Caenorhabditis elegans: one gene and its partner. The protein of the gene in region 1 purifies or fractionates together with the protein of each later gene. This does not show direct contact. Each region holds a gene or a part of one and is shown on either strand. Other genes may lie near its edges. The genes, in order: kal-1 and sdn-1.

The links.
Region 2: the proteins of kal-1 (region 1) and sdn-1 purify together in Caenorhabditis elegans (affinity purification with western blotting, with the first as the bait; one study listed by BioGRID). This does not show direct contact.

The regions. Positions count from the first base shown.
Region 1 is NC_003279.8:14,135,697-14,147,718, reverse strand, and holds the start of kal-1 (WAP-type 'four-disulfide core), read left to right. Parts: upstream 1-5,511; 5' UTR 5,512-5,514; coding exon 5,515-5,622; intron 5,623-12,022.
Region 2 is NC_003284.9:10,585,081-10,598,612, reverse strand, and holds sdn-1 (putative syndecan), read left to right. Parts: upstream 1-5,278; 5' UTR 5,279-5,334; coding exon 5,335-5,487; intron 5,488-5,750; coding exon 5,751-5,856; intron 5,857-5,989; coding exon 5,990-6,090; intron 6,091-6,144; coding exon 6,145-6,356; intron 6,357-6,502; coding exon 6,503-6,621; intron 6,622-7,026; exon of another isoform or gene 7,027-7,166; intron 7,167-7,240; exon of another isoform or gene 7,241-7,461; intron 7,462-8,082; coding exon 8,083-8,258; 3' UTR 8,259-8,843; downstream 8,844-13,532. Other genes in the region: F57C7.4 (PKD/REJ-like domain-containing protein), read left to right, coding at 9,075-9,344, 9,406-9,570, 10,705-10,869, 10,916-10,977, 11,023-11,180, 11,228-11,361, 11,411-11,540, 11,587-11,654 and 8 more. UniProt on the Caenorhabditis elegans protein: Cell surface proteoglycan that bears heparan sulfate.

The DNA of each region.
Region 1 (12,022 bases):
TTGTGGTCAGTTACCCCCCCCCCCCCCCCCCACTGATGGGTTCTGCTCCAGAAATTCGAGGCCTTTTTTGTTTATATTTTCCCCCATCCCCATCCCAATCTTTCATTTTTCTCTCTTCCGGAAACTATAATCCCAAACGTGTGCCCCACCAATTCCTATACTCTCTCGCGTTTTGCGAGTGCTAATCTGTTGGGGGATTAGGTGAGAAGTGCAAGGTTCGACGACGGCAACTCACTCAGTAGCCGCCTAAAAATTACTATTTCGTATTTGGAGCAAGAGAGCATCACCGGAAGAGCTGTGATATCGGAGAAGGCATAATTATGGGTTTCGAATATCCCCTATGCTTCCGGCTCGAGCTTTTCATCTTTTTTCACTTTAGTAGTACACCACGTTTCGGATTAGAAATTATGCGTTTTTTTCTGAAAATTTCATCGATTTTTTTCTATTTTTTGAGAGTTTTCGTCTCCTATCACTTTAAGTCCACTGCTTCCCCTTTTCATTTTGGGCCTAAAATTTTCAACCGGGCCCTATCAAATTAGGCCAAAAATAGGGTACCTCTATAGCAGTCCGAAACATCTGTCAAGGCCCGTTTCCGGGGTCCTCCTCTAGTTTGGGCCGGAAATATTGTTCGTGACCCGGTGACCGAGGTCATTCCTAAATTTTGGCCCAACTTTTGGCCTAAAATTTTTAGGGGGGGGGGGGGGGGGGGGGTTTCGGTTTCTTTCAATTTAGGCTTGGGCGTTTTTCTATTTTGGTCCAGAATTCTTAAGATTTTCGGTCGCCCCTTTTTTTGGCCCTGATATTTCGGTCACGGCCCGGTTTCCGGGGGCCCTCCTTTTCTTTGCCCCGGAATTTTTGTCCTCCGTGGCCCGGTTTCCGGGGTCCGCCTATTTTTTTCGTCTGGCTTTGAGGCCCAAACCCGATGGCCGGGGTCTCTTCAATTTCGGCTCGAAACCGGTAATCTTTTTTGGGCCGTTTTTATAATTACAGTGCTATACTTCCCGAATTTCAATTTTTAAGTAACTTTATATCTGAAAACAAGTATAATCCCGGTGGAGAGACCGGAAAACAAGACTACGAATCTCCTGTGAAATCCAAAAAATTGCTTTTATTTTTGATTTTCTCAAAATTGACTGCCAAGCCGAAATAGGCAAATAGGCAGGCAGGTATTTTATCTCTTTAGAGATTAAGAATCCGACTACAAAATAAATTGACATGTATATTAGTACAAAAATACCTACCTTCTTTACAACCCTCTATGGAATCTTCAATTAATAACCGTCTAATGGGATGCTACGGTCATTGTCCTCTCTCTCTCTCTCTCTCTCTCTCTCTCTCTCTCTCTTATTCTCGACCAATAAATTAATAAGAATACCCGGAGACAAAGGAGGGGAGCATTCATAGATAAATGGCTCAATTGTGTGTTACGTGTATGGAAGAGTGTCTGCGTCTCTACCTCTCTCTTTTTCTGTCGAGAAAGAAAAAATGACATAAGCAAAGGGTAAAAAGTGGCTCTTATTAGTTATGCACCCTTCCCCCGCCCAGTCACCTTTCACGCTTTTGGTATGTGGGAAGAGGACAAAAAAAAGAAAAAGAACAAAAAGGATAACAACTTTTTCAAAAAAAAGTTTGTCGATGCATCATGTCTCCCCTTAATTTGACAGCTTATAACTTGGTTCGTGTTGATGATATTTATGTAAAATAAAATACATATTATAGAAAATGGTGTAACAAATATTTTATAAATTGACAACTTTTTGATAGCACAAATACACGCCGAGATATGAGGCGTTAAAGATAAGCCCGGTTGATGCACCATGAGTAACCCAATTGAACGATCGATTTTCAAGATAGCAGCATGAAATAAATTTCATTTTATAGAACAAATGATTTAAAGTATTTTTTAAGTTGACAACTTTTCGATATCACCGAAAATAGCAGAATTAGAAGAAGCCATAGCTGAGCCCGGTCGATGTACCATGCCTCCTCTTACTTTGGCAGCTCATAACTCGCTTCGTATTGAAGATATTAATGTAAAGTAAAATACATTTTATAGAAAATAGAATAAAAAATATTTTTTTAGTGAATACCTTTTTGATATCACTAATTCAAAACGAGATATATTGGCCCTGTCGATTAGCCCAACTTATGAGTAGCCCAACTTAACGACCTGTATCTTGATCCATTTTAAAGATATCAGTATAAAATAAATTAAAAACTATAAAACAGGTAATATCAAATATTTTGTTAGTTGACAACTTCTTAATAACTCCAAAAGTTCCCGATTTGTGAGCTGTCAAAGATAAGCCCGTTCGATGCACCATGTTCGCGCTCCTACTCCTCTGGTAGGCAGATACGGTTTTATCGTACATCACCTTACCCTAAGCTGAATTTTACAATTTTTTTCAAAATTCCTGGCAACATTTTGTCTTTCGGACCCCCAAACATCTGTACTAGTCCGGGTTCCAAAAACACTACCCCCAGGCATTTTCCCTCCGCTGCTCATCTATATTTCATCCGTTTTAATCCCAATTTTATGGGGGTTGCATAATAATGCTCACCACAAAAAGATTACGTAATACCTGCAACAAGACACTTAACACTCTGGAGAGGACTAATCCTCTACTAGGATACATTGAAGTGGCCTAGCCCTGTTTAGGGGGGGGGGGGTCTAGATTCAATACAGATCCTTATAAGAAACCTCAGTTTATTGGTGTATGCTTTATACTTCTGATAGTGAGCTTTAATGTCAGAAGATCTATAAATTTTGTAGTTTGTAGTTTATTCAAACACGGTAAAATTTATTAGGAAGCTGTTTAAAGGAACATTCCCTCCCCTTTCCCTTGCCTTTTTAGTCCCAGCCACCAAAAATTGGTGATTGTTTGTTGTTTCCTCTGTCCCCCGGAATACTCGAATTGCCTGAAGAAATGGGACGTTTGACACACAATTGGTTTCTTTCTTCTTCCTTTCTTTTTTTTATTTTACTCTTCTCTTGTTTGTTTGTGGAGCTTTTCTTTTTCTGGAGCCGTTTGCTTTTTTGTAAAGAGCTCCTTTCCGATGACTCTGGACTGAAATACTTATTATAGATTCCTGAACTTATATATGTATTTATCAAGATTCTCACTAATTAAGTCCTAAGGGAGGCTATATTTTGAAAATGTGTGCACATAACTTCATTATTTACCTTCAAACATTAGCATTACTATAGATAAGCTGGTAAAATAAAATTGAAATTTCAAACTAAACCAGGCAAAGTACCTCTAAAAAAATAGAATTTTCTAAGAAATTTGAGCGAAAGTTTAAGTTTTCGGGAGAAAAAAAGCTTCATTTTCTGGCTTTTGAGCAAATTTTCAGCGTTTTTTCTACCTTAAAATTAATCAAAATAGGCTAATTTATAGCTAGTTTAGCAGACTTCAAGAGATTTTTTTAGCGAATCCGCTGAGTTACTTGATGCACCATGAGCTTTCACTTGAATTTTCAGAATTTTTTTGTGGTTTTGAATGTCTTTTCCTAAATTCCGAGAATTTGTCGATGCACCATATGTGGGTCATTTCGGCTTGATCTACGTAGATCTACAAAAAATGGGGGAGAAATAGGGCAGACTTCTCAACTGATTTCGCATGATTAAGAACAAAAAGAAATGCTAACATCACATTTTTTTGGGCGAAAAATTCCCGCATTTTTTGTAGATCAAACCGTGATTTTCAGCCTTTTTTTTTGGTCGATGCACCATGATTTTGTGAAGATTTTTGGGCAAGTTTCAGGGCTTTTTCTTGATTTTTCGATAAATTATTCTGAAATTCACCGTGTTAATCAATGCACCATAAGCTTTAAATTTTCAGATAATTTAGTAGATTTTTTTCGATGCACCATAAGCTTTTTTCCGGGGTCTTTGAATTATTTCATAGTTTGGAACGTTTTTTTCCCGCAAATTCTTAAAATTTATTGATGCACCATGTGTTTTATTCTAGATTTATTGCATTTTTTGTATATTTAAAGCCTTCTTCTATACATTTTTCAAACCTGTCGATGCACCATGAGCGTTCTTCTCGATTTTTAAAAAATTTTTCGTATAATAGTTTTGGAGGTTTTTTTCCCGCAAATTCCCCCAATTTATCGATGCACCATGAGCTTTTGGCCGGGGTTTTTGCAATTTTTCGTAGTTTTGAAAGTTTTTCCTCAAATTCCTAGAATTTGTCGATGCACCATGAGTGTTCTGTATTTCTCTGTGGTTTTGGTTTTAAACAGATTTTCAGACCATTTTTCAAATTATTATCGAAAAAATACGATCGCACAATTTTCTCATAATTTATTTTTGATCTACCTTGTTGATTAGGCTCCTCCCCTACCTTCTACAAGACAGCCACAACAAATTAACAACGGAAACAAGATTGGGGGCGGAGTCAAGTTCAACAGAGGTAGATCAAAAATAAATTATGAGAAATTTGTGCGATCGTATTTTTTCGATAATATACTCTTTTTCCTATCACCCTGAGCTCCCTCACCAAATCAGACTCTTCCCCTCTTCCTTCCCCCATCCTTTTCCTCCCTGCGTCTCTGAGAACGGATGGGCGGTTCTTTTGTCTCCATGCCCCTCCCATTTCTTGTCATTCCTCACCCCCCGTACCTCCTCCCTGGGCAATGAATTTAATATGTTTGTTTGGGAACGCGTGTATCATTTAGAGGCCCCCTATTGTTATTTGTCGTTTGTCATAATATTTTATTAGATTTTGGGGCGAATTTTTCCGGGTTCTACGGTCATTTTGTACAATTTTGGGTTTTCGTGGGGTTTTTTTTCTGAATTTTTGGCGGTTCCACTGGATCAGTCGATGCACCATGTGCTTTTTTCTGGATTTTCTGATTTTTTTTGTAGTTTTGAAGCCTTTTTCTGAAAAGCCTTTTTCTTTTTCTCAATGCACCATAACTTCTTTTTTTTTGAATTTTCGTAGTTTTAAAGGTTTTTTTTTGTAGATTTCCTTAATTTTTCGATGCATCATGAGCTTTTTTCTGAGTTTTTCTTAGTTTTGAAGGTTTTTTTCGTAGATTTTCAAAATTGATCGATGCACCGTGAGCATTGCCCTGAGTTTCTAACATATTTTTGTAAGGTTTTTGAGCATTTTTTGGTATTTTTTGTGTTATTTTTTAATTTAAAAAACGGAAAAAGATGTTAGAAACTTAGAGAACAACAGGGAAAGCTTAAAAATCACGAAAAATTCGAGAAAACTCGAGAAAAAATCATGGTGCATCGATAAATTTGTTAGTCGATGCACCATGTGCTTTTTTCCTTTTTTACATAGTTTTTATCGGATTTCTCAGCAGTTTTGAGCTTTTTGCTGTACTTTTCCTCATTTTTCTTCAATTTTTAACTCAAAAACTGCATTTTTACCCCCTAAAAAGCTACATTTATCTTCTTCTCCCCCTTCGCCAGTTCATAAAATATGCAAATTGGGCTCGTTAACTCTTTTAACTTCTTTTTTTCTTTTTTTTTTTTGCACATTTTTACTCTTACAGCACATGATTCTACTGCTGCTCCTATTCATATTGGGCTCCGTGAGCCCGGACGAGCTAATTTCGACTCGATGTCAGGCTCAATGCCTTCACTTGATGGATCAGAGGCTACAAGTGAGTTTTTGGAAATTGTTGGCTAATTTATGGGAAAAATTGAGCAAAAATCGATGCACCATGTCACAATCTAGGAAAGAGTCCTTATATCCATAACCACTTGGCTCTAGTACCTGTGACCTAGGCATATTGTCATTGTTTCATGCTCTCCAAATACCGACACACACACACATAGCGGCTCCTTTTCTCGGTTTTCAAGTGGATACCCCCCCCCCCCCCCCCGCCTAAATATACGACGACATGTAGAAGAACAAACATGTCAATCAAGGGCGAATTCCGGTGGTAGGAGATGTTGATAAGGGTAGACCTCCCCCAAAGAAAGTTTTGGGAGATTTACAAGCAAGATACTGTACAGTGTAATTTATGGGTGTACAAATAGAATTGATTTGGCGAATTTTCGGGATTTGGCGGGAAATTCGGATTTTTTTTTCTGGGGGAGTTTGAAGGGGATTTCAGCTTTTGGGAGCAATTTTCTGAGTATATAATTTGTCAGAAAATTCAAATTTCCCGCCAAAAAAATTACTCTGAAATTTTGAATTTCTCGCTTGAAAATATAGTTTCTTAGAAAATTCGAATCTACCGCTAAAAATTTGTTTTCTGAGGAAATGTTGAATTTCCTGCCAAAACAGTTCTTCTCAGAAATTTTGAATTTCCCGCCAAATTTTTTTTCACAGAAAATTTAAATTTCCCGCCAAAACTATTTTCTTTGAAATTTTGAATTTCCCGCCAAATTTGATTTTCCTCAGAAAATTTGAACTTTTGGCCGAACATGTAGCTTCTCAGAAAAATTGAATTTCCCGCCAAAAAATTGGTTTTTCTCAAAAAATTGAAATTCCCGCCAAAATTAGATTTTCAATGAAAATTTGAAATTCCCGCCAAACATTTTTTTAAAAAAATTTGAAAATCAAGCCAAAAATATGTTTTTTGACAAATTTGAATCTCCGCCAAAACTTTTTTCACATTTTCTACAGTAATACAGTTGCTGGCGGGAAATTCAAATTTGTAAATCATCTATTTTTGCTTTTTCCAGCCAAGACCATTCAAAAACCTAGCCCGCCAACTTATACGAGTCCATCGATACACCTTACGCAATTTTAGTACATTAAGCGGTACCTCTTTGTATATGAAAACATTAAAAGTGACTTGCGTAACGTGCTATCAAGATGGAGGTATTGGGTATTCAAAAAAGAAACATTGTTTCTTCTAGATAAAATCTAATGGAGGGGGGTGGGGGTAATAGCAGGGACCACTTCCTGCCAGCTGATGGGGGGATGGATACCTGACCTCCTCCCCTACAGGTGTCACATATACTACTCATTGTTGTTTCTAGATGTTGTAAACGATAAAAGTAAAGAGCAGCTGCGCGGGGGGGAATTGGGCTCTAAAACTAAATTAATGTGTTGTTTTTGTTGACTCTTACTAAGGGGGGATAGGGTGAGGGGTAGGGGGGAAGAGTCATAAAACTTGGTAGCTGGACCCACTTAATAACCCCTAGGAGGTCTCTCGGAATGTTATGAATAGACCCCTCTTCCGGTGTGAACTCTTCCCTATTGTCATATTCACACATTGTCCACACACACACACACACACAAACTTTTGTTCGAATAAGGAGGTCCGAGGTCGGCCAAGTGCACTCAAGAGTGCATTGATTTGGCCTTGGGAGGGAATTTTGGAGTTTTTGGGACAAATTTCCGGAAATTTGGGGGGTTTTTAGAAAAATTTCGCATCAGTTTTAGCCAAAATTCGACGAGTTTTATCTGTTTTATCATGGTGCAACCGGCCATAAAGGGCTCCTCAGTACTTCTATACAGTGTAACGAGTTTAGGACTGTTTTAGCAGTTTTAGAGTGAATTTTCACCGATTTTGAAAATGTTTAGGCTAACTTTTACCTATTTTGTCCAAATTTTGAGCTTTTAGGGGATTTTGATGATGGATTTTGAGGGAAATCGCAGGCTTTTTTGTGACATTTTGCACCATTTTTGGTCAAAACTCGGCAAGGGTTAACATGGTGCAACCGACTGTTCAGGGTGTCTAAGTGATTCTACACAGATTTTAGTGATTTTTTTGAAAATTTAATGTTTTTAGAGCAATTTCTCCGTGTTTTCAGCTAATTTGTTGGGCTAATTTACACATATTTTATCCAAATTTTGAGATTTTTCTAGATTTTTTGGGTGATCTGAACAGATTTTGACAGTGTTTGGGTAGGTTCGAGCTACTTTAAGCTGATTTTTCTGATTGATTTTTGATAGCTGATTTCGGTTAATTCCACATGCTTTAAGCTAATTTTCTCCGCTTTTGAGAGCCTTCAGGCTGTTTTTCTCCCAATTTTCAGAATTTTGAACCATTTTTCGACCTTGTCCATGACTTTTTATGAGGTGTGAAAAATTTCAAGAGTTTTCAAGCTAGATTTTCTGTTCCTTTTCTGCAAATTTTGATAATTTTAGACCAATTTAAAGCATTTTTAAGATACTTCAGTTCCAAAAATTCTTTAAAAATTCCTAAAAATCAGGTGACATCAGTTTCAATTTAAGCATAATTTAGCCCAGTGGGAACCAATTTTTTACTTTAGCCAATTTTTACCGTACCCCACCGTATCAGTTTCAAGACCACCGTACCGCGCGCAATTTACAACCTACTCGCTTCTCTTACTGACAACCGCTGTTCATGATTTACTGCGCGCATCAGGGCCAAGAAATTGTCACGCATCACAAACTCGACGGCAATTAGTTTTATGGAGAGACCCCTCCGCGTCTTCATTCGGATTTAGATTCCAATCTCTTTCTCAACACTACTACTACTACTTTTCATTTTGAAATCTCTTGAAAAGGAATGTGGTGGGGTAATAATTATAATAATGAATATATATTCATATAGAAGGTTCGGATTAAGGCAAAGATATTGGAAAAGGGGGAAGCTCTGCTGGTGTGAGGTCAGGTATATGTTAGTTTGGCGGCTCCTTTCCTCTTTTTTGCTCTAACGAACATCATCAATCAGTGACAATGACACGCGCTGTCGGAGGTCAAAAAGAGAGTGACTTTACTACTATGCTTTGCTAACGAAAAAAGTTAGTTAGTAGTTTGTGGGGGGACCTTCTCAATAATTAGGGGTTTGGTGGAGAGAAGAAAAGACATGAAAAAGAAGAGAAAAAAGTACGAATTGAAGGTCCTGGGGAGCAGAAATCTAGTGACTTTGGGGGTCTAGGGAGTCTAGGTTGGCCCTAGTTTGGTTAGGGTCAAAGCTGGACGGTCGGCTTGAAATGGGTGTTCTAAAAATCTAGATTGGCCTCTAAGCTTGTAGGAGACCAGGGAGGCTTTGCAAAAAAAACCATGAGCTTGATAGAGGTCTACTGAAGGCCTAAATTAGCTTAGACCATTTGGTTGAAGAAATACGTGCTCCCTGAGATCATGGATCCTGAGATCACTAGGACTCGGCATGGTAAGGCTTTTTTGGCTGGTGCACCTTAGGGTCTTCTAAGAGCCTATATCGGTTTAGACCCTATGCGCGGAGGAGTTCAGGCTGTGAAGGGTCCTAAACTCACAGCAGTATCCATACATAGCAAGGCTCTTAAATATGAGGTATCTTTTCACTCTGACATCTAAGTTCCCATAGGTATGGTACCTAGTTGATTTGCCAATTTTTCCTTTTTAAAATGTTACCCCTCGCCCTCTTGTCACCCTGTCACAATTTGTCATTCACCTGTTACCACTCCTCGTGTTCCCATTTGGTTATTGTAACCTTTCTTGCTAGATCATTATCGTAAGCACCCTTCTAGTTCATCAATCTTACCCTCCCCGGCGCCACGAAGGTTTGGCGCCAAGAGGGGGGGGGGGGGTCATAAATGAATTGACTCGGATACTATGTGGATTTAGTGTAAATTTAACGGAATCTGGCGGGGATGGATAAATGTTTTATAGACGATGGGAAATTAAAAATTTCCCTAATAAATTGGCCAGCGGAACATATGTGAGGATACGGGCAGGGGGGATGAGTTCTAGGTCTAGTTTTGCCAGGGGGCATCAGGGGGACCAGGAAGTATCAGGGGGACCAGGGGGGGGGGGGGGTATCAGGGGGACCCGGGGGTATCAGGGGGACTAGGGGGTATCAGGGAGACTAGGGGGTATCAGGGAGACTAGGGGGCATCAGGGAGGCTAGGGGGTATCAGGGGGGACCGGGGGTATCAGGGGGACCAGGGGGTATCAGGGGGACAAGAGAGGAGAGGGGGAGGGGGATGCCAGGGTTTTGCAAAGAGGGGTACCTTGTCAAGGGGGGGGGGGTGGGGTGGGGTACCAGTATCTTTTAAACGTTTTGTACCACATTCTGAAAGCACCGGTAAAGTGCAATACATGGCATTTTTACCGGAAGACCACAAAAAAGGCGGTAAAGTTCTAAACGTTTCTAAAACAATACGTGCCTATTAGAAAAAGAGGTGCTCTTCGCCTAATTACAGGTTAATTTGCACTCGGTTCAAGTGTTTTTTGTGTTATTGTTGGGGTAAAAGGAACAATGGACCGCCCGAATTATAACAAACCACCGTCCGAATTGTCATAAATTGTCCCAGACCCTGCCTCCATCTAACGCAATCTGCTGCTTATCGCCACCCCCCGTCACGTAACAAATCATTAGAAGCGCTTTGATCTGTGCTGGCGTAACCCACTTGAGATACAATATGCTAATGTGCTCACGGTGGCTCATTCCAAATTCATATTGAGCACCAAATCAGAGAGGTGGTGTCGATTCTCTCACGATTTGTTCCCAAAAGGAACGGGAAAAGTTCATGAAAAATTCAGGCGGGTATTGTTTTGAGGACTCGCGCAGCTGCTGGATGGATGGATGGATTTTTGGATTAGGTGGGGGGTCCTCTGGATAATAGGAAGTTTTGGTTTTTCTTGGAACACCGTGAAAACCACCGCAAAATCGACTAAATTTGTACAAAACTGCGATTATGAGAGGCCAAAGTCGTGAAAATTTACCGGACAAAAAGTGATGTCAATTTACATTCCAACCGATTTCCAGACTTCAAATGTTCCTTAACATGATCCAAAGTGCCCTAATTTCTATAGATATTCATTAAAAATTGCGATTTTTTGAGCTTAAAGTCGCAAAATCTTACACATCTAAATGAGCAAAAAGTGATGCCAATTTACATTGCAGAGTACTTTTGCTTATTTTGCAGATTTTGGGGTTCCCAATTTTCCCTGAAAACCCTCATCCATTCTCCTTACTCCAACTCCAACAACCGAACAAAAAACGGCGGGTATTAGATTCATGAGAACCGATGCATCAACGTCTCTCATGGTGCCAGATGGGTAACACGACACGAAGACGGTTTATGGCCGGCGGGGTTGGGGGTAAAAAGAAAAAACATTTGAGATTTCGACTTTTCGACAGATATTTGATACTTTAGAGGGGGTCTGTTTTACTTTTTTCAGGGGAAAATTTGGGTTTCTGTAGTGGGAATTTACCATGTTAGCGGAAATTTAAAGTTGTAAAGTTTGGACATTTTAAGGTAAAAATTTCGCTTTTGGAAAATTGGCAATTTAAAACAAAAAATTTGACGTTTTAGGGCCCAAATCAACGGTTTTGGAGTGAAAAATTGGCTTTCTTGGGTAGAAATTGACCATTTTGAGTAAAAATTTAGCCTATTAGGGTCAAAATCAACAGTTAAAGTTTTGGAGTAACAATTTAGCTTTCCTGAGTAAAAATTGGCAGTTTAAAACAGAAAATTTGACGTTTTAGGGCCCAAATCAACGGTTTTGGAGTGAAAAATTGGCTTTCTTGGGTAGAAATTGGTCGTTTTGAGGTTTTGAGTGAAAATTTACCCGCACGGGGTCAAAATTAATAGTTTAAAGTAAAAATTTCGCTTTCCGGAGTGAAAATTGACCTTTTGAAGTAAAAATTTTGATATTTTGACGTCAAAACTAACTTTTTAATGTCAAAATAGACTTTTTCATGGGGGAAGTCATGAGGTAAAAATCGACTCCCTCAGCATTAAATTGACATTTTCGAAGTCCAAACAGTCTAACACTACAAATTTGCCTTTCTGAAGTGAAAATTCACTTTTTGGGCTTAAAATCTGCCTTTTTGGACTCCAAATTCACTTCCCAAAGCCTCCAGGTCAACACCACCAACATACCATTACGGCTTAAGCCTCTATATGCATTAGTACCGCACCATTTGCCTTACTGTCTTCTTCTCAGACTTTTGTAGTAGAACCAACGGTAGTAGGGGGGGACAATAATCCGGATAGCACACAGTAGAAGAAGATGATGATGAACGGAAGATGGACGGAAGGTGCGCGAAAACAAATGTTCACGCCTGAATTAGCACACCACCACCTTCCTGTTCTTCTTCACTATATACATAAAAGTTATGACTTTTGGAATTTCAGGGGATATGTGGG
Region 2 (13,532 bases), on another chromosome or scaffold:
TGTTCTTATAATTTTCTTGGTGTTTTTAATTTTGGGGATCGCCCCAAAGTTGTATTTTTGAGCATTATTGTAATTCAATTATTTGCTTTTGAAAATTGTGAAAGTTGAATCCCTGTATTATGGATGAGTTTATAAAAAACTTTCCGTACAAATTTTCATTAATTTTCAAATACTGCACATTTTTTGAAACTAGCAGTTTCATTATCACTCTTTAAAAATTTTAGGTTTGAGCCTTGCAACATGAAACATTAGTTGGTAGTGTTCAGTGGCGCTTCACCTGATAGCGCGTAACGCAAACTATTTTGTTGATAACCAAACCATGATTTGTGATATCTTGAAACATCGTCTCTATATTCACATCTTGAAAATTCATAAACGTATGTAAGTCGTAGTTTACAGTATAACATTCAAAGATTTCTTGAGAATAATTTCTTAGTCAATGTTAATCTTGAACTTGATAGAATCACCGTTGAAATCGCGGAAAAAAGGTAGATCCTGTATTTGGAGCATTATAGGTCCTAGTACGTACGATATTCAAACATTTATGCGCATCAGCTCTTGTCGTTTTGCATTGGTTTTTGGTGTTATCAGCGGCAACAGTGTTGCACTTCGTTCTGCATATTTGTTTTAGTGATAAGTGATAACCCAAAAAATGTTGAGGCTATATGTTATTGTTCAACAAACAACCCCGTTCAGAGGTGTGTAACTGTATGTATTAGCGTAAAATTCAACCAATGGACGCACTCCTTCATCACCCGTCCTCCCTTTTCTTCGCGCGTAACGGAGTCAGATTGGAGGCAGAGGGTCAGTGAGTGGACCCTATTGCGGTAACCTTTTTCTCCCTCCCCGACAACCCGTCCTCGCGAGTCCATTCGGACAGTGCTAAGAAATTGGAGACGCAGACACAAAAGACTTGGTAGAGATGAATTAGCAGGCTGAAGAAAGGGAGAGGCTAAGAAGGAGAGAGAGTGCTCACTACTCGGATCGATCGTCTTCGTCGTAATGCTAATAAAACAGATGGGCCGTCGTCTTCGGGTTGGGACTATTTGTCTCCTCACCACCAAACAATATTTGTCTGATATTTGACTTTCACTACTTGTAATGGGCGTTTTCGCGCATTAAGTTATCACCTATCTCTCCCACGTTTCCCAACTTTTTTTCCTGAATTTTGAATATTTCATTTCGTCAAACTCACTTCTTGCGAAATTTGCGCCGCTTTTACAAGTGACTATTATAGATATCAATTGCGAAATGCTTACCTTAATTTAAAAAATTTCAAAATGTCATCCGCAACAAGTGGGATATCAGCATCTTGTTGAAGCCAACGACTTTACACTCATGAGAAACTCGTCTCCCTTTTTCTCATTTTTTCTTCAGAGCAATATGAACAAAAGATGCGATTTCTCACTTCTCCCATTTGTTTTCTCACTTTTTCACGACGGGTTTTTGTTTCATTTGAACTTGGTTTCAGATTTCAAGAACTAAGATTGATAAGGTTGAAAGCTTGTCTACTGAAAGTTCCCTTTTCTTTAAAACAGCAATACGAGTGAGCAAAATGTTATAATTTAGTTTAAATATTGACTGATCTTGACAAAATACGTCTTTCTTTCAAATCTCGAAAGTCCCTTTAAATGTTTTTTGTTTACGACAGAACATATGTCATTAAAATTCTTTTTAAATCTTCAATATAAATTGAACAACTAATTTCAATGATTTCCAAAACTTTCAATTAATCCGTTAACCATTTCAAGTACACATTGCCAATTTCGGAACGCTTATGCGGGTGACGACGTAGCGCATTTTCGTGTGTATGTGTGTATGTTGACGTCGTCGTTGTGCGCGCAGGGGGGCGAGGGCCAAGCATTTGCATACCATTTCGCCTTCAACCGCCCTCTACCACCAAACATACACACGCAAACGCATCAATCGCGGGAGTCTCGGGTACCCTACGTCTTTTTTCTCTTTTCTCTATTTCCTCGAAACCGCAGTGTGATCCCGCTCTGCCTTTTTTGGCCGTTTATTACCTCCTCTGGTGCCCCTTGCGCGTGTTTCCGTTTTTGTGCTGTCCGAAGGAGATTGCGATTTTCTATTTTATTCTCCTTTTTCTATTCTCTGGTTCAATCATTTTTCTTTCTGTTTTTGGTCAAATCCTAGATAACCAAATTGTCGCTATTAAAACGAAAAAAAAAACGGGCACCAGTCAAAAAAGAGACATCAAATTTCTTCTTCCTTCTGCTGAGCAAACCCAAACACTTTTTTCGTTTTCTTCAAATTTCCATCGATCAGTTTTATCTATATCTTCTCTATATATTTTTCAATTTGCTTCTCACATTTGAAGGATGAATTCACTTTATTTCAAGTTTATGTAGCATTTGCGTTGGAATTTTTTGGAGAGCAAAAAGAAAAGAACAGATGGGGAAACTGCCATCTGCCTCAATTTGCAGCAGATGCTTTTAGGTACTGTTCAGGCGAAACATGTCGTTTTTCATGTTTAGAATTTGTATAATCGTTTTTTTTTGTTTTTGTTGAAGACTTAAGGAAGAAATTTGAATAAAATAGTAGCTTTAGGTGTTATTTGAATAATTATCAAAACCTCCTTTAAATTTTTGGCACTCCACAAAACTTTTGTTTCAAACAACACTACACCTTATAATTTAAAACGTAACATAAACTATTCGGAACACACAAAGCCGAAAAGTTCTCAATTTTTTTAATTGCGTTCCCAAATTTTCTTTCAGAAATTAAACTGAAACAATCAGTATCAATTGACAATAAATTGCCAACTTGTCAGTTTTATATTACATACTCTCAAAATATCTAACCTGAATTTGAAAAAAAAACATGGCATAAAAAAAATTATAAAGCGGTGCTACTTTTTTTTTATGAATTGGAAACTTTTAATCCCCAGCTGATTTGGTTGTCATTTCTTTCTTTTTTAGTACATTATTATATTTCTATTCATTCGAGAAAAACATTTTGAACTCCGCTTACTAATAAAATGAAAACCTAAAAACTGTACTTCCTATTCATAATTTGTAAAATCTATCTGCTTGCAGTACTCCTACATAATAAGATATACTTGTTGACCTGTTCAATGACGTATTGAACGCGTTTTAGTTTTTGCTCTGAACAAATAAAGCTTTCCCTAAAATGCTCCTCAAAATAAGTCCGCAAGGAATTAGTGCAAGACTAGAAGGATGCAAGATAAATATTAAAAAATACAGTTTAACCCTAAAATACAGTTTAACCCTAAATTAACCCTAAAATTTTTAATTTTTCCACATCACTCAAAACCAATTAAATGACACAATAAAAACTTGATGAACGGATATAACCTGTCTCTTCCTCTCACCTTTTCCTATTCAATTTCTTCTTCAGTACTCTCCTTCTACTCATCAACTACCGCATTAACTTGTCACGTCTCAATTTTCCGCGTGAATTATCGTCAATCGATCCGATCCAACCGATGTGATTGAAAGAGGGCATTCCTACGTTCATTCACATATCCGCCCTCAAAAACTGGTATCGTGGCCCCTGAATAACTTTGCTCTTTCTGCGTTTCATATGGCATCTGTGTCACAAGTCCGCCTCTTTCCGTTGCCGGCAGGGCGTACACCCTTTTAAATTTGTTCGGATGCGGAGCAGTAGAAGCGAAATTCGGTGTATGCGTATGTGATGCGGATGCTACGAACACCAAACCAAATGCAATTTGTGCGCGCCTTACTGCTCTTTTCTCATTTCGTTGGCCCCTTCCTATTTGATGAAAAGAGAGGAAAGATCCGAGTTTTTTTTTGCCTCGAGGCAAGCTTTTTGGCAATAGTAATTTGAAGAAGTAGGTTCAGTAACTCACACGAGCTCTCAGAGCTTCTCGTCTCGTCTCAAGAGTTTTTCTCTTAGCCGGGGAATGTATTTGAATAAGAGATTTGTTTTGACCATCTATACATTCACAAACTATTCTCTATTACGTTACTGCTTTTGCACAACAACTTTAGAATTGTTGAATTAACAGTAATTGCTTTTCAAAAGTAAAGTGAGAACAAAGAAATTGGTTAACTTGTTCAAAACGTTCATTTTTTACTTAGTTTAATTTAAATCTTTGTTTATTTATTTCTGTTATACGGTCAAATGTTTCTAGACGAAATTCAAATTATAAGTTCCACATTCTCAACGAACATATGTTTTAAAAGTTTATTGAAAATTAAAACTTTTGATATTCACAATTCAGTTAAATTTAAATTTCATTATTTTCCGACAAAGTAAATTTTCAGCAAGAAAGTTTGTATATGTTTCAAAAGTTGCCCTTCTATGTTTACAATCAGTGATAATCACGAGACCAGGGATATATAAAACGGAAGCAGTCCTAAACGAGGTCATCATCTGGGAGGCGCATACTAGGCGCAACTTGCCCTCTCCCGTCCCGGGGTGTTATCTGATTCCGTTTCCTTTGTTTTGTTTCACTTTCGATCCTATAACTCTCTCTCCCTTTTCTGCATCCTGAGAAGATGTTACCTTTCCCATGATGATCCTCAAACATCACTACGCTCCATTCTGTCTGGCGCAGAAGTGCTTCTTCTAATTTCATGGAGGGTCATCTAGGCTGGCAGGACGCAAAGGTTTCGACACGAAATTTGTTGAGGGCAAGAAAAGAAAAAGCCGAGATAGGGAGAGTCGGAGAGAGACAAGACACCCGTGGCTTGCTTGCCCATCTCATTACGCACTGCGGTCGGGAGGGTCCACTCGCGGAGGGCTTTACCCTCTTCGTCGGCTCTCTTTAATTTATCCGCTTACCCTCTACTGCTACCCTTTTCGACTTACTTGACCAGTCACCCCTAACGTCCCGTTACTTTCTTCTCCTTGCTGTTGAGTAATACTTTCTTTCCCAGTCTGTTTTCTCCTTTTTTCTCGTTTTTTAATCAACACATACACAGATAGACACACGGCGAGGAGAGAATAGTTTTTATAGCTTTTTGCTGTCTTCATCAATATCTCAAACTCTTATTTTTCTTCATTTTCTCCTTTTTCTCACCAATGCTGTAAATACCATTTTGTCTTTTCTCGGGTTCACCGTTTGTATCGTTTTACTCGTTTTACTCCACCTCTTTCAATTCTCCAATTGTTATATTCCCTATTCTGTCATTGTACCACTACCAATCCAAATTTACGATAACCCCCTTTTCTTTTAGAACCCTTTTGCCGTACACCGCCATTTCCTCTGTTTTCATTTTGCCGTTCCACTCAACCTTTTCCTCCTCCACCACAACACCAATTGCTTTTTCAGGGGTAAAGAGAGTTTCCAAAGAGATGCCGGTCAGGTGATTACACCAACAAGACAATATGATTCTGAAACTCAATTTCTGCCTGTCGACTTACTCGGTCCTCATTCTCCTATCCTTATCTACACAAGCTTTCGCCGCAAATCAAGCAAAAACGAAAGTGGTCCCTTCGTCAACTATTTCTACGAAAAGCTTGAAAAATGGAATATCTGAAGTAAGTTATTATATAAATTTATCATAATGTTACAATACGATACTACGAAATTCATTCACCAGCGCACTTTTTGTTTGCGCAAAGCAGGCTCGAATCTGAAGCGCGGCAAATGCGCACCAAAATATTTGCATTATTCAAACAGATATAATGGGCGATGGAGCGCGCGTAACATAAATAATAATATTAATAATAATAACGAATAATATTTATTTAAATAATATAATAATAATATTGGCAATATGAATAATTTGAAACTTTTGCAGCAGGTCGAAGGAAGTGCAAACATTCCCGGCAGGTTAGCAGACATCGAAGTCAATGGATCCGGCTACCCAACCGACGACGAAGACGGTGATGATGTCCATGGGTCAGGTGGGTATTTTGAATTGTTCTTGACAACTGTGAGAAATCCTGTTAGAAAAGCGTTAGTCCAGATGCAAATTTAATTGTGTGCGCCGCTTGCAGTTTTCAATCTGTGACAGACAAATTTGAAAACCTTTTTTAGGCAAGCCGCCATCTTCAGCTACCACAAAATCGGACAAGGTTACATCTCCAAGCCATGCTGTTGTGACTGCAAAGCCGACAACGGTACCTACTACTACAGCGGTTTGTGTCGGCTTTTTCTTTTGATGTGTTTTACCGCAATCTTTCATTCTTCAGAGCTTCAAGCCTCCTGTTCAGCCCAAGCCTAAGCCAGCGGCAAACGACAAGGAGATCAAGGTCGAGGAGGACGAGGACGATGATGAAGATGAGGATGAAGATGATGAGGATGATGAAGAAGATTTTGCTGATGAGAATATTCATAATGATGAAGATTTCTTCACAACTACTACTACAACAACGTATCGACCTATTGTTGTAGCTACCACCTCGTATGTTTTTCATTTGAACAAAAAACAAAACTATTCTAATGCCCTCCAGGGCCCAGGATTTATGCATCTAGAAATGTATTAATTATCTTGTCAATCAACAAATCCCCGAAAACATCTAGCAGCCAATTTAATTTTCAATTTTCCAGAACGCCAAGGTCAGCAGCCACAAATCCACCTCGACAGCAGCCACCAATGGTCACATCAACCATCTCATCTGGACCATTCTCGCCATTCCATGAGACACTGGCAAATGGCTTCTATGCAGGTATGTGTGAAGCAAAACTCATTTCAATTAATTTTGCATTGGGACCTTTGATCGTCCGGAGTGTAACTATCATTAGTGGGAGCAGATGCAAATGTACATAAATCGCCCGGTCAGTGTGATGGCGTCGGCGAATGATTTGTTGCGAGATGATAAATTGATGTCTTCTCGTCAATCGAAGGCAACACGGTTGCATTCAATATATTCGGCCACTGTATTCCGGGGGAATATGCTGCCTCAAGCCTATCCGTTCCGTCTGTTCCGGATGGGCAAATATACACAAAAATATGAGACTTGCATAAAAGTATGCATACTTTTTGCATTCCGGACACTCATCCCGTCCATTTTTCGCGACCAGTCTATCAATCAATGTGTACAGCTCGAGGATGTGCTAGTTTGTTGTCGAGCTGTTTCTTAATGACAGATGGCGTGGCCTCTTCTTCGTCTTCTTGTGCTTGTGTCACAGAATGGGGACCCCTTCGTATGAATGATGCACCACCACACATACTCTTCTTTCCCCCATGTGTCTAATTATTCCTGGTGGGAAGACGATGAGAGCTCTTCTTTCTTATTGAAAGAAACCAACAAGTATTGGTGAATGACACGCCAGAAATTATATTATTGAAAACGGAGAGATGATGATGATGATGAGGATCAAGATGGGTCCAAATTATATATGAGTGCCACTGAACGAGACACTTCTCAAGTTTTCTATTTTGGCGCAAAAATGTAGGAAGAGATGTTTAGTTTTTTTCTTTCCACAACACTTGCTTTGAACAAACTTTTTTGTGTTTACTGCCTTTTGTGAGGAAGTACAGATGCCTTGAAATGGGTTTTTAAAGAAAACATAGACCCCTTATGACGCGTGTCTCAAAATGTGGGGAAAGACGAATTGTTCAGTAAAGTTGACATCTCTTCTCAAAACTTGCTATGCTTTCTTCTTTTGTGGTTATCAAAATCTGAGCAGCATCCCACATCTAACAAAGGAGCCCCAGCTCTATTCTCTTGAGAAAAAGGGCCTGAGGTTCGGGATGGTGGGACGGAAGCCGCTGAAGAAAGAAGGAAGGCAAGGTCAAGGGTCGCATTTTGTGCATATTTGATTTTATGACACTGAGTGGAGGAAGTGTCTGTGAGGAAAAGGGGAACCTTTTGAATGAAAGGTTTTGAGAGAAGATGACGGTTTTGAAAGGATTTAGTGAGTTGGAAAGGAAAACTAAAATTTTTTTTCACTTAGTTACAAAATTAAACTCTTATTGAAATTATTCACTACCAAGAAAGTTCAATTTAGGACAATGCAATATTTCTTACATGCATCGCATTACTGATATTATATGTTGTCCTTACGGGTTGAGATCATAAAAATATGTTTGGAATAAAGCACAAAGCTTATTTATTTTTTAGTAACGAAAAGATTTAAAGTTGTAGAATTATCTATTTTAATTTGATTTAATTTGATATTTTCAGCTATTGCCGGAGGTGTTCTCGTTGCGGTGATTACAGCCATTCTACTCGTGCTCTTTGTAGTCTTTCGAATCAGGAAAAAAGATGAAGGGTCATACGCATTGGATGAACCCAAGCAAGCAAGACCATATGCCTCGTATGGTTATACCAAAGCATCGACAAAAGAATTTTACGCGTAATCTCTACTGTCATTTGTTCAAAATCTTCTATCACTCAATCACCTTTCAAATCATTTTTATGATTCTGTTCTCAGACTTCATTCCAATCTGCCATACCTTTCAATTTGTTTTTTTCCCACTCCCATTTTTTTCAAACCCTCCCCCCCCCCGCCTTCCTTTCGTAAAGGTCATTACTCTCTGTTCTACTCGTGATAATTTGATAATATAAACTGATCTGACTCCATGGTGCCAAATATTTGAATATAATCTTTTGTAGACCCACTTAGGGGTAGGGATGCATGTATCTTTGACTCAATTTATACTATACTCCCTTGTTACTATAATGTGCTCATATTATCCTATTCTAGAAATTTCCACCTAATTTCCAAAATCCCTCAACACTCTCACGCGGTTTCTCTGGTTTCTGATGGCACTTATCTGCTAGAGTTTTTTGTTTCAAAACTTGCCTCTTGAAATTTGTACTTTTTCTTGTTTTATCCGTTTACCTTTTTCTTTCCAATAACATCTTCTGTAACAATTTGAGATGCTCACATATTTTATGTATTCAAATTTATAAATATAAAAATATTACATTAATGTTCCAAAACAATATAAATAAACAAATAACGAAAGAAAAATGATCATGAGAAATCTCACATGGACAATGAAATAACAAGAAGAAGGAAACGAAGCCTTAAATTGAAAATAACGGGTTTCCATAGAGACAAAATAAAGCTGCGCGTTTTTTCAATCAGAATACGTAAAACTTTTTTGCCTCGTGCACTAATACTTTTCGAGCTTTCTTTTTTGGCTTCGGTTGCCATGTAATTTTTCTGAATGATAGAAGAGCGCCTATTGAAGTATTTGTTATTACTGTTCCTAATTCTTGGATTCTGCGAATGTAAGATTCTCAATCAATGCTATTCATCTGGAACAAGCTGTATTCGGTTTGAAAAAGCTTATTTTGAATTTGTGGACACTGTTCAACTAACCAGCGATAATGTGCCAACTCTAAAAGACAACGCAGGAACAACATCAACTCGTGTTGTGCTCAGTGAGCTTCTAAGTCATTTGGCATTCAATCATAGTTGGACACTTGCCGCATTGGTTAGCTTCCTTTTCGAAAATTCTGAATAATTGACGAACACGCAATTCAATTTGCATTCAGGTGGTCAACGCAGGCACACGCACTGACGTTCAATGGAAAATAGCTCCTGATGAGACAAGTGAGCATCCAATTGAAATAGACGATCCAGATGGATATGACAATCCGTTTCCTAATGCGACAGTTCATTGCGTCGACATTCAAAATTATGCTGATGACGCAAAACGGGTAAGTATTGGTCATGTCTCATTCATCTTCATTTTGAAGGTGTCTCCGAATGGTCTTCTTGTTACCACATAGAACCATATAAAATATATGAGAACAAAAAACGAAAAAAAAACGTATTGAAAGATGGGAATAGGAACCATATGGTTGTAATGTAATGGCGCGTTTCGTGTCGCCGTGTGTGTATGTTCAAAATGCGTCAAAGACCTTGTGAAAGACCAACTGCTCTTGTCTTTTATTTCGATTATGCAAAGGGTGTGAAATTGAAGGTGTATTGGTAGTGAGAAAATTGATTCTGTATTTAAGTGCCTTACACTTGATAGTCGGGGGAGCAACCAATATATTCGACTTTGACATTAAAAAAAACCTTACTGGTGTATCAGAGACCGGCACTTTTAGAAGTAAATTTTTGAATGAAAACGTAAGGATAATTTTTGAATTTTCAGGCTTTGAAAATAACATTACAAAACCTAAATATATCACGTTTAATTTGAATGTAATAATAAACAAAAAATTGAAAATTTTTGAAAATGCAGGGAATCAATACAACAGTGCCAGGAACGTTATAATTAAAAAGTTATGTTATATGGAAAAATGTGAAACACATGTTATATCTGCCACAGGTTTATACATGTTAGGTTTTTTAGGTAAAGTACATGCTTATTGTTATAGTAAAAACATCAACAATAGAATAAACATTATAATAGTTCAAATCAATTATGCACGTGTCGATGCTAATCCATCGGTCACAATACTTATAGTAAACACATTTTTGTGCTGTTTTACACAACAACAATGAAGAAACGATAATAGTTTAGTAAAATTATTTCCATTGGAATAGTGATTACTTTTTCAGAGCCCAATATTTAGATAACTTTTTAAAGCCAAGTTGATGCGTCATATGATAAAGCAGAAATATACAAGAGCGTGTTGTATCAAATATCCTGGATAAATTGAATTTAGAATCTTAGGACTATTATCAATGATGAGTTTAGATCCCCATCAAATTTGCGGATTTATTATAGTAGAAAGTTCCAGTAACAACATTGATCGGTTGAATTATTAAACTACATTTATAAAAAATAATTTTAAATCGTCTTTTAATACCTCAATTCTTTCTAACAGTGGCATTTTCAGTTTTTGGTAGTACCACCCAACTACAATTTCTTTTTTTCTGTTAATGGCTCCGCTTCCATAAACTGTTCAAAAAGTGGGATTTCAATTATTCCGTTTGTTTGGGATGATACCAGTAGGGCAAGTATACGAGGAATGTCCTATTTTTCTTCATCACCTTGCTCTAGTGTGAGATTGACAAAGATCAAATATATTTTTTAATTCTTCAATTTAGGAATGCCTCGTGTTGCCTATCCCAACATTGTTGGTTAGATTCTGCCCAAATGTCAACAACAGGTACAACTAACTTATATTAAAAATTATAACTATTTTTTAATACAGCAATTTGGAAATTCACATTGATAAAGTTGAAGATTTTACTGCCGAGTTGTCTGATGATTTACTTGGTATAAACATTCAAAAGGTTAATGATTCAATTGAATTTCCAATGGGCATTATGAATTGTGAGGTTTTGATGGAAAACTCTTCCATTCTCGGAGGTAACTAGTTTTTCCACCAAATCATTCATAAAGTACATATTATTCAGAAAACCCTATTTGTCTGGGAGATGGGGCAAATGTCGCCATTAAATTTGGTGCCAATCCAAAGATCGGCATACTACAAGAAGTGAAAACAAAATTCTCACCTCGATCAGCATTTCTCAAAAGTCCAAAAAATGCGGTAAATTCTCATTGAAGGGCAAATAAAATTGAAAGGCGCACAGTTGCAGGTGTATCCAAACTTTACAGTTTCCCATGAAAAAGAAGTGGCTACATGTTCTAATTCAACAACGTTCGAAGTAAAACAGATTTCAGGGAACGGCTTCATGCCTTTGAGTTTTCAGTGGACTATTTTGAATGGTTGGATTTTTTTATAATGTAATATCAATCAACTTCATAAATTAAGGTACCTTGGATATGGAAACCATTGCAAAAGCCGCAACAGAAAGACTTCTGGAAATCCCCAGTCATCATGTAAGATATAAAAATAAAACTTGATTTATTTTATTTTTGAAGCTATCAACAAACAATGTGATACTGGTCACCGGGTGTAATGTAGCGGAAAAATGCACTTCAAGTGGACCAATCTATACCGCACTTGTTGATGATGCATCAGTGTTTTCAGTTTCTATTGATGGTACTTGATACTTTTTAAAATGTTGAGTAAACTCAAATTATTCTAGGCGTTGAACAAGAAACCCCTGCTTCATTCGGTCTTCGTCTCCGTGCAAACCCTACTTTTAAGCAATGCAGCTCCAAAACGTCCCCAAAAGATGTTCAGGTGTTTCAATACATAAGCTTTAAAAAATGACATTATTTTTTTCAGTACGAGTGGAAATTGAATGGGGAAGGCAAAATGTATGATGACGGGCTCAAACTACCGGCTTATTCATATTCTGTGAATGAGCTGGTTAATGTTACACTGATAGCAAGATACAGTTACGAAAAACCGTACTCTTCAAGTTCAACAAAGACCATACATGTATGTTGTTAAACTTGCAACTACTGTTGCTAAAAAAAAGTTGCATGACATTTATTGAAAGGCAAAAATAAGGTTCTTCACGAAAATCACTGTAATACAGTTTATTACACCATAAATTGTATTTCGACATTAAAACGTGAATGAGCCCATAACAAAAGTTCAGTTTTCATTTCAAACTTTCCCACTCTTATACGTTTTCTTTTGTAGTAAAATGTTTGTGTCTAATTTTCAGTATTTTGGCTTACCACTTCTAGTAAATTTGGATTGTGCTGAACGTCAGATTGGGAAAGATCACGACCTCACAATACGAGTATTGGCGGTAGATCAAAATCGAAAGGACTCTAGTCTTAAATACCAATGGACCTGTGAACTCATTGATGGTAACTTTCATTTACTTAAACTTTTATTTAATTATATTTTTCAGAAAAAAATGACACGCAAAGCTGCAATCTTGGAGCGATTGACACGTTTCAGGATTTTTTGAAGATCCCTACTAACAAATTAATCGAAAATACTATTATGAATGTGACAGCAACCGTTTCATCTGAGGAACAATCTGACAGCTCTTCATGTATCGTCACAATTGCAGCAACTCAAATTCCAACAGTTACATTTTATAGACTCGCAGAGAAAAAACAAAATGCTTTTGATTATATCAGGTAGAAATATTATTGAAAGTTTATACTAGTCTTTTTTTTAGAATCCAAGCATTAGTAAGTTCGTCATTGCCAACCTTGAATATCACATGGGAAGTTGTTCGAGATCCTCAGTTTGGTTATTTCAATATTTCATCGTTTATATCTAACCCTACTACAATTATAAAAAATGTTCCATCAAAATCTGACGTATTTGTATCATTCACAATTCCACCTGCAGGAACACAGTAAGAGTACTAAAGGAAATATCACACTATCAGATTTTTAGACTTGCCATGTGGCCAGGATTGATGAGTGGTAAAACCTTTGTGATCCGGCTTTGGGCGTCTAATGAAAAAGGATCTTCGTTTTCGGATTTGCACTTGTCTACGAATGCGCCACCAACCAAAGGAAATATTGATGTGAAAAAAGAGAATCGCTGTTTCTAGTCAATTGTTGTTTTTTTTTTTCAGATATCTGTACCGTTTTATCCACCGTTTGCTCTTGAAACTCCAGTTACATTTTCTGTTGGTGATGGTTGGAATGATGATAAAGACGACTTGCCTTTGACATATCAGTTTGGTTATAGAATTCATTACGACAATAATGAAACATATGAATATCAAGGATCAAAGAGCACGGTCAAATACATTCAATTCTTTCTGCCATCGAGTAAGTTGCACATTTGATCATCATTCTTCTAAATGTACTGGTAGGTGTGCGGCGATAGACAAT